3 linked regions of the Sus scrofa genome follow. The protein of the gene in region 3 purifies or fractionates together with the protein of the main gene of each other region. This does not show direct contact. Links are inferred from orthologs where the notes say so. Each region holds a gene or a part of one and is shown on either strand. Other genes may lie near its edges.

Region 1 (3,745 bases), on a different chromosome or scaffold from region 3:
TACACAAACTCAAAGCCCGCATCCGATATCTCCGAATGGCTGGGCACAACTACGAAACACACTCGGCTGCCACAAAGCTAACCTATTTTTCCTGCCTTCACCTAATAAGCTAAGAGGGAACGTAGTGTGGCCGGAGGTAGGACAAAGTTCCTCATTCTTTTCCCAGTTCTAGCTCATTGTTGGCGCTAACCGAGAAGAGGGGGTCAATCTTCCTTCCCCGACCGTACCGGCCGGGAGCGCCTATTTTGTTGAAAAAGCTGCCCGAACGGTCCCCGGCGCCCACACGGCTTCCCGGCGGCGCGGTCCCCGACTCCCGCACGCGCGGCTCGGCGCCTGGGGTGGGGTGGCCGGGCGGGTGCTGCGCGACCGGCAACCGCGGCGCCCGTCCCGGGCCTCGGCCAGACCCCCTCCCCAGGCCCCGGGCCCCGCGCCGCGCAGTCGGACCCCGCGCGCTGCCCGGCCTCGGAAGGAGGCAGCCGCGAGTTAAAATGGCTTTGGGCGTCTCGCCCCCGCCTCCCCCGACAGAAGACGCAGAAAAAGTACGCGGAAAGAAAGAAACTAGGGCTCGCGGCGCGCCGCGAGGCCGCCGCGGCGGAAGCAGGCCCGACCGGCGCGGGGGTTACCTGGGATCTGCCCATGGTCGGGCCGGGGGTGCCGGGGCTCATCGCCGGGTGGCTCCTTTGTTGCGCGGCCGCCCAGGCCGGGCTGGCAGCGGCGTACTGGGCGCCCATGTCCTTGCCCAAGCCCATGCCCGCGGCCGCCTGCTGGCCGCCCGCCGCCGCCCCCGCCGCCGCCGCCTGGGACTGGGGCTGCGACGGCGGCGGCGGCGGCGGCGGCGCGCTGGGGCTGCTGTAGTCGGGGTAGCTGCCGCCGTAGCTCCTCATCATGGGGCTGGGCGAGGTGAGCAGCTGGTTGAGGGTCGGGGTGGCCCCCGACGGGTGCTGGTTCTGCCCGGCGAAGCGCTGGAAGCCCCCCGCCGCCGCGCCGGCGGCCGCCTTGCTGAGGCTCGCGGCCCCGCCGCCCCCGGGGCCCATCATCATGCCGCCGCCCTGCTGCCGGGGGGAGCTCAGCACCCCGTACCCCGAGGACGAGCCCCCATAGCCGCCGCCGCCGCCTCCTGCTGCTGCTGCCGCCGCCGCGGCCGCCGCCGCCACAGCTCCCGCTCCTGCTCCTCCTCCTCCTCCTCCTCCTCCGCTGCCTCCTCCTCCTCCTCCTCCTCCTCCTCCTCCTCCTCCTCCGCCACCGCCGCCGCCGCCGCCGCCGCCCGCGCTGGGCCGGCTGTAGCCCGGATAATGGTTGTACTGGCTGTTGGGGTACCCTTCGTGGGAGTTCTGCAGGGGGTCCATGCTGTTGGGGGCTCCGGCGGTGGCTGAGGCGGAGTGCATCATCCCCATCCCGGGGCTTTGTTGTCCGCCATGTTGATCAAAGCAAGGCCCAGCGCGGCCGCCGGGGCCGCCGCTAGCAGGGGCAGCGCTGCCATAGTAATTATTAAACTCCGAGACGGCCGCCGGGCCGCCGCCACTGCTGCCGCCCCCGGGCACAGCGACCGGCGGCGGCTGCGCGCCCAGGGCGCCCAGGCCCGGCTGCTCGTAGCGGCCGCCTGCCGGCTCCCCCATCTTGGGCGGCGCGTCGTCCTCGTCGCCCGGCTTGCTCAGCAGAGGCTGGCCCGGGGGGTCGGCCTGGCTGCCCGCGGCACTGTCCTTGGCGCCTCCATGTTGCGGCTGCTCCATGTCGGGACCGGGCTGAGCCGTGCCGCCGCCCGCGCCGCTGAGGCTGTTGTTGTTGGAAATGGGATGTTGCTGCTGCTGCTGCTGTTGCTGCTGCTGCTGCTGGAACTGGTTTAGCTGCTGCTGTAGTGCGTGGTGGTGGTGGTGGAGGTGGTGGGCATGGTGGTGGTGGTGGTGGGCATGGTGGTGGTGGTGGTGCTGCTGGTGGGGCGGTGCGGCGGGGGCTTCGCCAACGGTTTTCAGTTTGTGGTTGGGGAGCAGCCCCGTCTCCATGGCCGAGCCCGGGCCCAACGAGGAGGAAGAGGAGGACGCCGCCGCGGAGGAGGAGGAGGACAGCGCGGCGGCGCTTCCACCCTCCTTCAGAGCCGCCTCGGAGCCGCCGCTCTTGGCGCTGTTAGTGCTGGCGGCGGCGGCCGCCGCGCTCGCGTTATGGGCCATGTTCAGTTCGTGACGGGGGTGCAGGGGGTGGTGGTGCACATTATTCAGGCCGCCGCCGTCGCCGCCGCCCCCCAGCATGGGTCCCGGTGCCGCCGCCGCCGCCGCCGCGCCGCGCGCCCCCGCCTCCAGGTCCCGGGCCCCGAGCGCCGGCCGCGGCCCGGGGGGCGCCCGCCGCTCGCCGCTGCCCGCCCGCGCCCGCGCCGCCGCTGCTGCCCGCGCGGCCATGATCGCCGCGGCGTGGCGAGGCCGGGCGGGGGGCGGGGGGAGACAATAAAACCCACTTTTTAGTCTGCGGCCCCTCCTGTGCGCATCCACACGCCCCGACGGGAATCGAGCGAGCCCCCTCCCCCTCCACAGGCCCCGCCGGAGCCGAACCGGGAGTCACGCCTTACGGTCTGGGCCTGTTCCCGCTGTGTGATTTCATGGTGAAAGTTTTTAGTTCAGGTTTAAATGAAACTTTTCTCTTTTCCTCTCTAACCCGGATATGGGTAAATACACGACTCACTGAGCCTATCGGGCCCAGCATGGCATGAGAGGGAGCCGAGCGAGCCCGAGCAACTATTATCCACTTCTCTCTGATTACTCGTGCGCACTCGCAAAACGCGGACTGGACTCGGCCCGGGCCGCCGCCGCCCGCGGCGCCCTCCGCCCGCCTGCCCGCCCGGGCGCAGCCTCGCGGGCACCGGCGGCCCCGGGCCGGGGGCTCGGGCCGCTCGGCCGGCGCCGGGCGCGCGGCGGCGTGGGGCGACGGGAGGCTGCACTTTCCCCTCGTGCCTCCGTCTCCTTGCCAACCGGGCGTTCGCGTGTTTGTTTTCACGTCTAAAAGGAACGATTCAAAGGTGGAAAACGAGTCTGACGAGCAGACAAAAGAGGGAGAAGGGCTGGGGAACAAAGTTGTCTGTTGGCCTCAAAGGTTACGAGGAGCCGACGGAGAAAGAAGATATTTGGGCAATCTGTGCAAAAGCACTGCCTCTCCCAAGAGTTATGTAATTTTTCAGCATGTTAGCCTCTCTGCCTTGATTTCGGGCCGTCAATGTAATTCCCACAACTTCTTTAAACTGCATAATTAGGAAAGAGTTTAAGTGAAGGTTAGCCGCATTCCAGAAGCGCTGTGCCCTGTACACAGCAGGTACTCAATAAATGCTTAGGTTGATTGCACCTGCCCCAAAAATAACGTTGATATAACTTTTTTTAAGGCATCTTATATGTGTACGTAGGCTTATCAATGAAAACATAAAGTAATCCCAAAGGAGCATTTTTCCTTCCCATGCACTTGTCTGTCCTCGCTCTGAAGAGAAAGTCTTCAAATACGTAGCGTGGTGCGTTATGCTCCCAGCAACTTGCACGTGGAAATTTAACTCCTGGTGCCATAATAGCGACTGCAAAGGTTTATCTCATGTCTTCATAAATCTGTATGACATCATACCTGCATCGTATTTCAGAGGTTATGTGCACAATTAACCCTCTTGATATGAGTTCATTTCTAAGCAATGTGAGACAAAACTAAAAAAAAGTAACATGTTATTTAATAAACATAAAATCAATGATGATATAAATCCATCAAATCTAATCCTAGAGCT
Region 2 (3,745 bases), on a different chromosome or scaffold from region 3:
GGACTAGCCAGGCTGTCTCCTCTCACGCTGCCTGCCGGGAGTTGGCGCGCTCACTACGGGCCTGAGAGCCAGCACCTCTGAGCCGGAGGCCTGCCTGGTGGCAGGGCAAGGCCAGCTCCACCAGAGGCCCTGCCACAGGACGCCACCCCTCCTGCCTGGAACGAACCCCTGTCCGGGTCCCAGAAAGCTTTCGGATGTTCGCCATAGCAGGTTTGGGGGTAGGTTTCCAGAGCCCAAGTTGTGCCAGGATCAGCGGTTTCCTCCCAGCTGTGTGCTGGGGTGTGTGTGTGTGTGTGTGTGTGTGTGTGTGTGTGTGTGCGCTCGCGCACAGGTGAGGGGCGAGAAGGCGTGTGTCTGGGTGTCCGTGGGGAGGACATGGAACAAGCCAGAGGAGGCTCACTTGTCCCTGGCTCCGACTGGCTTCAAGAGGCAGGACCCAGGGACAGTGGAAAGTAAGGGGACCCTGAGCAAGAGGGGGGGCCAGTGTGGAGGTGGCTGCCAGCAGGGCCTGGGCAGAGGTTCCAATTGGGGTAGGGGATGAGAAGAGGCCCTGCCACAGGTCCAGCTCGGGGCAGAAGGGCCAAGAGGGGGCCCAGGGGTAGGACCAGAGGCTGAGAGCCAGTGACTCTCAGTGGAACCCCGAGGCTCCTGCTCCAGGGCTGGCGGGGGTGGGGTGGGGGGAGGGCAGCAGCGCCTACCTGTACCACGGCGGGTGGGTGCTGAAGGCCTGGAGTCATAGGTGGCAGGGTCCTGCAGCGGGGGAGTCATCCAGTGCCCCCTCGGTGCCCGGGCCCAGAGCCTACCGTGCCTGCAGCACCAAGGGCCATTCTGGGGGGGATCTGAAAGGAGAGGGCAGTGGGAGGGACTGGCCAGACCCCGAGCCCCAGAGCCAGACTCACAAGGGCCTGCTGTGTGGACCAGCTCCATGACAAGGTCTGAGGAAGGCAGGAGGCGCGTAGGAAGGGAGCAGGGGGCGGGCTGGGCCAGCCTGGCTGGGTGGCACAAGGAAGGGCAGCGTGACTGCAGGAAGCAGTCAGAGACCAAGGCCTACAGGTCAGGCCTGGAAGGATGCGAGTCAAGGAGCTGGCAGAGCCCAGGCCCTGGCAGAGGCAGCACCTTTGGGGGGTCCTGTCAAGAGTGGAGGAGAGAGCCGGGCACTGGGGTGGGGAGGGCATGACCGGCAGCCAGGATGGGACCTGGATGACTTCTGGAGCTCAAGGATGTCCCAAGGGACAGCTAGGGGTGGGTGGCAGTAGAGCCAACCCGCTCTGTAGTCTGCCCAGCCGACAGTGGGCCCTCCCTGTGTGCCCAGCCTTCGTGGTCACCCCCTGCCAGGGAGGAAGGCGGTGGGCTAGGGTCAGAACCCAACTTGTGGGCAGACAGCAGGTTGGGGGACGAGGAGGGGGCAGTGTGGTAGCTTGGGAGCAGTGTGGGGGCTTGGGAGCAGTTCAGGGGCATGTGCTGGGGGTGTTGGCCAGAGGGTGACTCTGAGAAGGGTGAGGAGGCAGGGAGGCAGTGAGAGGAGGGAGATGCCAAGAGGGGAGGATGTTACCAGCCTGGGGCAGGGGAGGAGGTACCTGGCAGGAAGAGGGACAATCTGAATGGGGGAGAGGTGTTGGGCAAGAGGAGGCCAAGAGGAAGGGGCACAAGGGAGGGAAGGAGGGGCCAGGCAGGGGGGAGGGAGAGGGCCAGGCAGGGGGGAGAGGGGAGAGACAGGCGGGGGGAGGGGGAGGAGGAGGGCAGGGGAGGGGGTTGGGCCAGGCAGGGGTGGGGTGGGGGTGCCAAGCATGGGGGAGGGGGGGAGATGCCAGGTAGGGAGGGGGTGGGGAGGAAAGCTCCAGTCAGGAGCAGGGCAGGAAAGTGCTGGGCAGGGAGGAGGGGACAGGCCACTGGGGACAAGTAGGTACAAGGCAGTTGGGGAGGAGGGAAGGTGCCAGACACGAGGGAGGAGAGGAAGGTACCAGGCAGGAGAGTGCCAGGCAAAGGGAAAACGGGGGAATGCAGGGGAGGGGGAGAGGGGAGGGACCAGGTAAGGGGAGGAGGGAAAGAAGCCGGGTGAGGCGTGGAGGGGGAAGAATCAGAGAGGAGGCTGGATGGGAGTTTGCCAGTCAGGGAAGAGGTGCAAGAAAGGGAGTGGGGGGAGGTGCCAGGCGGGGCGGTGGGGCGAGGGGAGTCAGGAGTGGGGGGAGAGATCAGGAAAGGAGAGGGGGGGAGCCAGGCAGGGAGAAGGGGGTGCCAGGTAAGAGGAAGGTGCCAGGAAGGGGTAAGAAGGGAGGTGCCAGGCAGAGGGAGAACAGGGAAATGCCAGGCAAGGGGAGGGGGGAAGGAAACGCCAGACGGGGGGGGGGGGCGGTGAGGGATGCCAGGCAGGCGGGAGGCGAGGAGGTACCAGGCGGGGGGGAGGAGGGATGCCAGGCAAAGGAAGGAGGGGTGATGCCAGTAGAGGCAAGACGGGTACTGCCAAGCAGGGAAGGCCGGGGCGCCGGCGCAGCGCGGCCGGGCGGCGTCTCCTCCAAGGGCCTGGGGGCCGCGCGGCGCGGGTCGCTCACCTGCTCCCCCGGGACCCCGGCCCGGAGCGCGGTCGCTCGCTCCCTGCTCGGCGCTCGGCTCGGCCCGGCGCCTGCGCCGCTGCTGCCGGGAGCGGGGGAGGCGCAGGGAGCGTCTGCAAAGAGCGAGGAGCTTAATAATGAGTTAGGGATCAGAGCAGTCAGCGTCGCCCCATCCATCCGAATGTGCGATCGCCACGCTTGGAGCACCGCGGCGCGCACTGGCCGGGCCCATTGTGATGTTCATTTAGTCAGTGCACAGATGTGCCTTCGTCTGTAGATGCGCCTCTGCGCCCGCGGATTCACATAGACCTTCAGAGGGTCCGATGTGACCGCAGACATTAGGCGCATGGGACCACAGACAGACAGACACACACACTCTCAGTGGGGAGAGGGCCTCGGTTCCACTCCAGGTTCAAGGACAGGCTCCGACGGATGCCCCCGCCCCGCCCCGTCATGCATGTGCACGCTCCTGGTCTAATCTGTGTCCCTCCGGGCTGTACTACCGATTCCGCGGGGACGCTGGCCCCGGAGAATCCCTTCCTGGACTTGCAGCCAGAGGAGCCGCTCTGGTCACTCCGCAGGCTGTCTCTGTGAATCTGACTATTCTTGAGTACTTCATACAAATGAAATCATTCTGTATTTGCCCTTTGGCGACTGGCTGATTTCACTGAGCATAACGGCCTTGAGCTTCATCCATGCTGTAACGTGTCAGAAATTCCATCCTTTTGAGGAGAAGATTCCTGTTGTCTGCATATATGCAATGCACAGATGAATATATGCCATTTTTTTTTAAGTCTTTCTGGGCAGCACCTGTGGCATATGGAGGTTCCTAGGCTAGGGGTGGAATTGGAGCTGCAGCTGCAGGCCTACACCACAGCCACAGCAATTTGTAATCTGAGCTGAGTCTGCCACCTACACCACAGCTCACAGCAATGCTGGATCCTTAGCCCACAGAGCGAGGCCAGGGATTGAACCTGCATCCTCATGGATACTAGTGGGGTTCATTACCACTGAGCCACGCGGGGAACTCTTACACACCACATTTTGTTGACCCATTTGAAACTGACAGTATTAATGGCCTGAACCTAGCCAGAACACAGATTGGGGCTTGAACCCATGTTTTAAACGAGCACTCACCTGAGGTCTGGACTCACTGAGGTTCAGGTTCTTTATGCTTCCGTGCAGAAGGAATTCAG
Region 3 (3,645 bases):
TTTTATGTATAGTTCTATCTTCCTTGTTGGTAAGCACCAAAAAACCTTGGTGACAAAAGAAGACCAATCAATGCCAGAGTTCCCGTTGTGGTGCAGCGGAAATGACTCTGACTAGTATGCATGAGAATTCAGGTTTGATCCCTAGCCTTGCTCAGTGGGTTAGGGATGCAGCGTTGCTATGGCTATGTCCATGAGCTATAGCTCCGATTCGACCCCTGGGAACTTCCTTATGTCACAGGTGCAGCCCTAAAAAGCAAAAAAAAAAAAAAAAAGTGAATGAGTGAGAGTCTATACTGAGAAGGAGTGGTAGGTGGTGCAGGAACAGAACTCCAGGGACCCGCCTCCTGGCCCACAGCGTCCACTTCTATTCGGGCTGCTGTGTGGCCTCTGGGGGAGGAAGATGGTTTCCATCAAAGCCCCTTTAACCACAGTGTTATTCTTGTACCTTCCGTGCTCGACTGTTTGTCACAGGAAATTCGCCCAGGCTGTCATCATCAACTCGGGGATCTGGGGCACCTCGCTTCTCCATGGGGTCAGTGCGCAGCAGAGCCTCTAAACTACTGCCGTCCTGAGAGATCAGGCCCTCCTTCTTCAGGGTCTGGTCTGTGTCTGCAAGCAAGGTCAGGGTTAGGTGAGGCTCATAAAGGCTGAAAGAGGACCTCTCCAGGTCTACACAGGACTAGACTAGCCACAAGCCAGTCCCTGTCTCCTGGTCTATGGCTGCCCAGAAACCAAGGCACTGTAGTTCACTTGGCACCATTAACTTATCTGTTTATCTGTCTCCTCTATTAGACTGAGTTATTTAAAGAAAAGAATCTCATCTTATTCATCCTATTATCTTTAGGACCTAGCATGGGGCATGGAATACAACAGGTGATTAGCAGGCATCTTACTATGCTTCAGGCCACGCCCTTGCTCAAGGAGGAGTGCGCTTTACCTGGTTTAATAGATGGGAAGGAAAGCCTAGGATCCTCAGGAGGGTGAGCGCGCCGCTTTTTCCGCCAGCGCCGGGCAGGGTAGGAATACAGCTGCCCAGAGGCCAATCCTGTGGAAGGAAGAAAGAAGTCAAGCCCCAACCCCCAGTCATAGAAAATGATAAATACCAAACACTTTCTATGTGAGTAGGCTCTGACTGAGTTCTAGAGCAAGGGAGGAATATGGACAGGGAGGGCCTCGCAATTGGGGGAGGCATGGTTTATGGAAAAGAAAAACAGATGTAAGCTCAGGGGCCTTGGCTAACACACAGCTCTCCAAAACCCAACAGGAGCCTCAGCGGTGTAGCCCTGCAGAAAGCAAAGATGCTTCATCCTTCCTGGACGGGCTTCTAATCATGGGAAACCAGTCACCCATGGGTGTAAAGCAGTAGGGAAAACCCTTTCAGATGGCTCATCACCTAAGGTGAGGAAGCTTCTTTCTCCTCGTGCTCCTGAGTGGGACCCTCACCTGGACCCCGGTGTCGCTTTTCCATCCAGATATAACAGTTGCTTTGGGCTACCCCAGTCTGTGAGTCCAAGAAAGGCAGGCGTACGCTGCGCTCAGCGCAGAGGCGGGCATTGTAATTGTGGCACTGCTCCATGGCATCTTTGTAATACTGCTCCCCAAGGCTGCAGGAAACACAAAAATCAGGGGTGTGTGTGTGTGTGTGTGTGTGTGTGTGTGTGTGTGTTGGGGGAGGGGTGTGAGGCGCTGTGCATTCCCTTTCCTTTGCCACCTGCTTCTCTAGAAGGCTCAAGGGACTGGGAGACTGTCACTCTGCTTTTATTTGCTTCCATTTCTGCCTCATGGGACTCCAAGCCCCTTCACTATGCCATTAAGAGGAAAGGCACTTTACAAAAAAATTACTGTCGGGAACACGTGATTTCATCATGTCTCATCAGACCTTAGTCTAACCCATGAAGAAGGGAAGAAAATAATGTTCATTCTGTGCCTCTCATGAGTTCAACCCTGCGCTAGCCAAGATGCTATTTCTCTTACTCCTCAGGATTCTGAGGAGAGGTTACCTCCTTTTTACAAATGAGAAAAGAGTTCAAAAGGACTGGGGGACTTACTAAATTATAGTTAGCAAACTACATTTATATAAACTTTATCTACATAAACTATATCTATACAATGAAATTCTACTTAGCCATAAAAAAAGGAAGCTCTTCATGTACTAATATTAAACAATCTCCAACAATCTCCAATCTACCATTTATGCAGCCAAGTGGTAGAAAAGAAACTGTAGGCCTCCAAAAAGAATAGCCAGGTGACTAGGGGACTTTCTCCTATGTGCCATTTTGTATCTTTTGAATTTTAAAGTAGGTATTTATTCAACTAATTCTACATACTAATTTCACAATCAATGGAAAACATCTGAAAATACCTGAACACTCTTGAAGCCTAGTTTCTACTGAGTACCATAATTCTGGGACAAAACCTGTTTGCTCGAACGCCCATCCTAGGCCCTTCTTCACTCTCACACCATCAAATTTTTAAGGAAAGGAACCTTCTGGACTCAATTTGAGATGTGAATTTTCTAAGTGCTTAAAAAGCTGCAAAACTGCACATCCTTCAAGATTTAACAAGCAGGAGTTCCTGTCGTGGCGCAGTGGTTAACGAATCCGACTAGGAACCATGAGGTTGCGGGTTCGGTCCCTGCCCTTGCTCAGTGGGTTAAGGATCCGGCGTTGCCGTGAGCTGTGGTGTAGGTTGCAGATGCGGCTCGGATCCCGCGTTGCTGTGGCTCTGGCGGAGGCCAGGGGCTACAGCTCCGATTCGACCCCTAGCCAGGGAACCTCCATATGCCGCGGGAGCGGACCAAAGAAATAGCAAAAAGACAAAAAAAAAAAAAAAAAAAAAGATTTAACAAGCACTTTAGTATTGGAGCTTAAACTAACTACAGTGATTCATATTTATATATTCGATCAATCTTTTTTTTTTTTGGTCTTTTTAGGGCCACACTCACGGCATATGGAGGCTCCCAGGCTAGGGGTTGAATCGGGGGTGTAGCTGCCAGCCTACACCACAGCCACAGCAACACAGGATCCGAGCTGCATCTGCGACCTACCCCACAGCTTACGGCAACGCTGGATCCTTAACCCACTGAGCGAAGCCAGGGATCGAACCCGAATCCTCATGGATGCTAGTAGGGTTCGTTAACCACTGAGCCATGACAGGAACTCTATTCAATCAATCTTAAACAAGCGGAGGGCAGAGATGACCTCATCCCCACAATATCCTCAGTACCCTTGAAGGTGTCTGGGACATCTTGACCCGAGTCGGGAGTAAAAAGACCTGGTTTGGCTGCAAGTTATCACGTAAGCACAGACATGAGTCAACCCACATGGACCTTCGGTTCTTGTGCTATAGATTGGGGAGGCTGAACTTGGATAAGCTCTGACATATTCTACAAGAGGGAGACTCCTAGCATGAAAAGCTGAACAGAGCAAATTTCTGTTGCTTATGTCCATAACTCAAGCTACATCAACAAACCCTGCTCTGGAATTTGAGGGGGGCTTTCACTGGGCAGCCACAATAGACCACTAAGGCACAGCTTAGCACGTTCCCAGAAACTGAAAGCCACACACTGCACACAAAGCAGTGAGACCACAAGATAGTCAATGAGCTGTAATGACTGTAATTTAAGGCAGGCATGAATCCTGTGTT

Evidence for each region.
Region 1: the proteins of DPF2 (region 3) and ARID1B purify together in Homo sapiens (affinity purification with mass spectrometry; 7 studies listed by BioGRID and IntAct, counting the BioPlex papers as one, with this or other methods). This does not show direct contact. The link is inferred for Sus scrofa from reciprocal best matches to the Homo sapiens genes DPF2 and ARID1B.
Region 2: the proteins of DPF2 (region 3) and SMARCD3 purify together in Homo sapiens (affinity purification with mass spectrometry; 3 studies listed by BioGRID and IntAct, counting the BioPlex papers as one, with this or other methods). This does not show direct contact. The link is inferred for Sus scrofa from reciprocal best matches to the Homo sapiens genes DPF2 and SMARCD3.

What each region holds. Positions count from the first base shown.
Region 1 is NC_010443.5:10,225,113-10,228,857, forward strand, and holds the start of ARID1B (AT-rich interactive domain-containing protein 1B), read right to left. Parts: upstream 2,269-3,745; 5' UTR 2,244-2,268; coding exon 624-2,243; intron 1-623. UniProt on the Homo sapiens protein: Involved in transcriptional activation and repression of select genes by chromatin remodeling (alteration of DNA-nucleosome topology).
Region 2 is NC_010460.4:5,957,371-5,961,115, reverse strand, and holds the start of SMARCD3 (SWI/SNF-related matrix-associated actin-dependent regulator of chromatin subfamily D member 3), read right to left. Parts: upstream 2,651-3,745; 5' UTR 2,550-2,650; intron 840-2,549; 5' UTR 738-839; coding exon 699-737; intron 1-698. UniProt on the Homo sapiens protein: Involved in transcriptional activation and repression of select genes by chromatin remodeling (alteration of DNA-nucleosome topology).
Region 3 is NC_010444.4:6,879,904-6,883,548, forward strand, and holds part of DPF2 (zinc finger protein ubi-d4), read right to left. Parts: intron 1,605-3,645; coding exon 1,444-1,604; intron 1,046-1,443; coding exon 938-1,045; intron 610-937; coding exon 446-609; intron 1-445. UniProt on the Homo sapiens protein: Plays an active role in transcriptional regulation by binding modified histones H3 and H4. Is a negative regulator of myeloid differentiation of hematopoietic progenitor cells. Might also have a role in the development and maturation of lymphoid cells.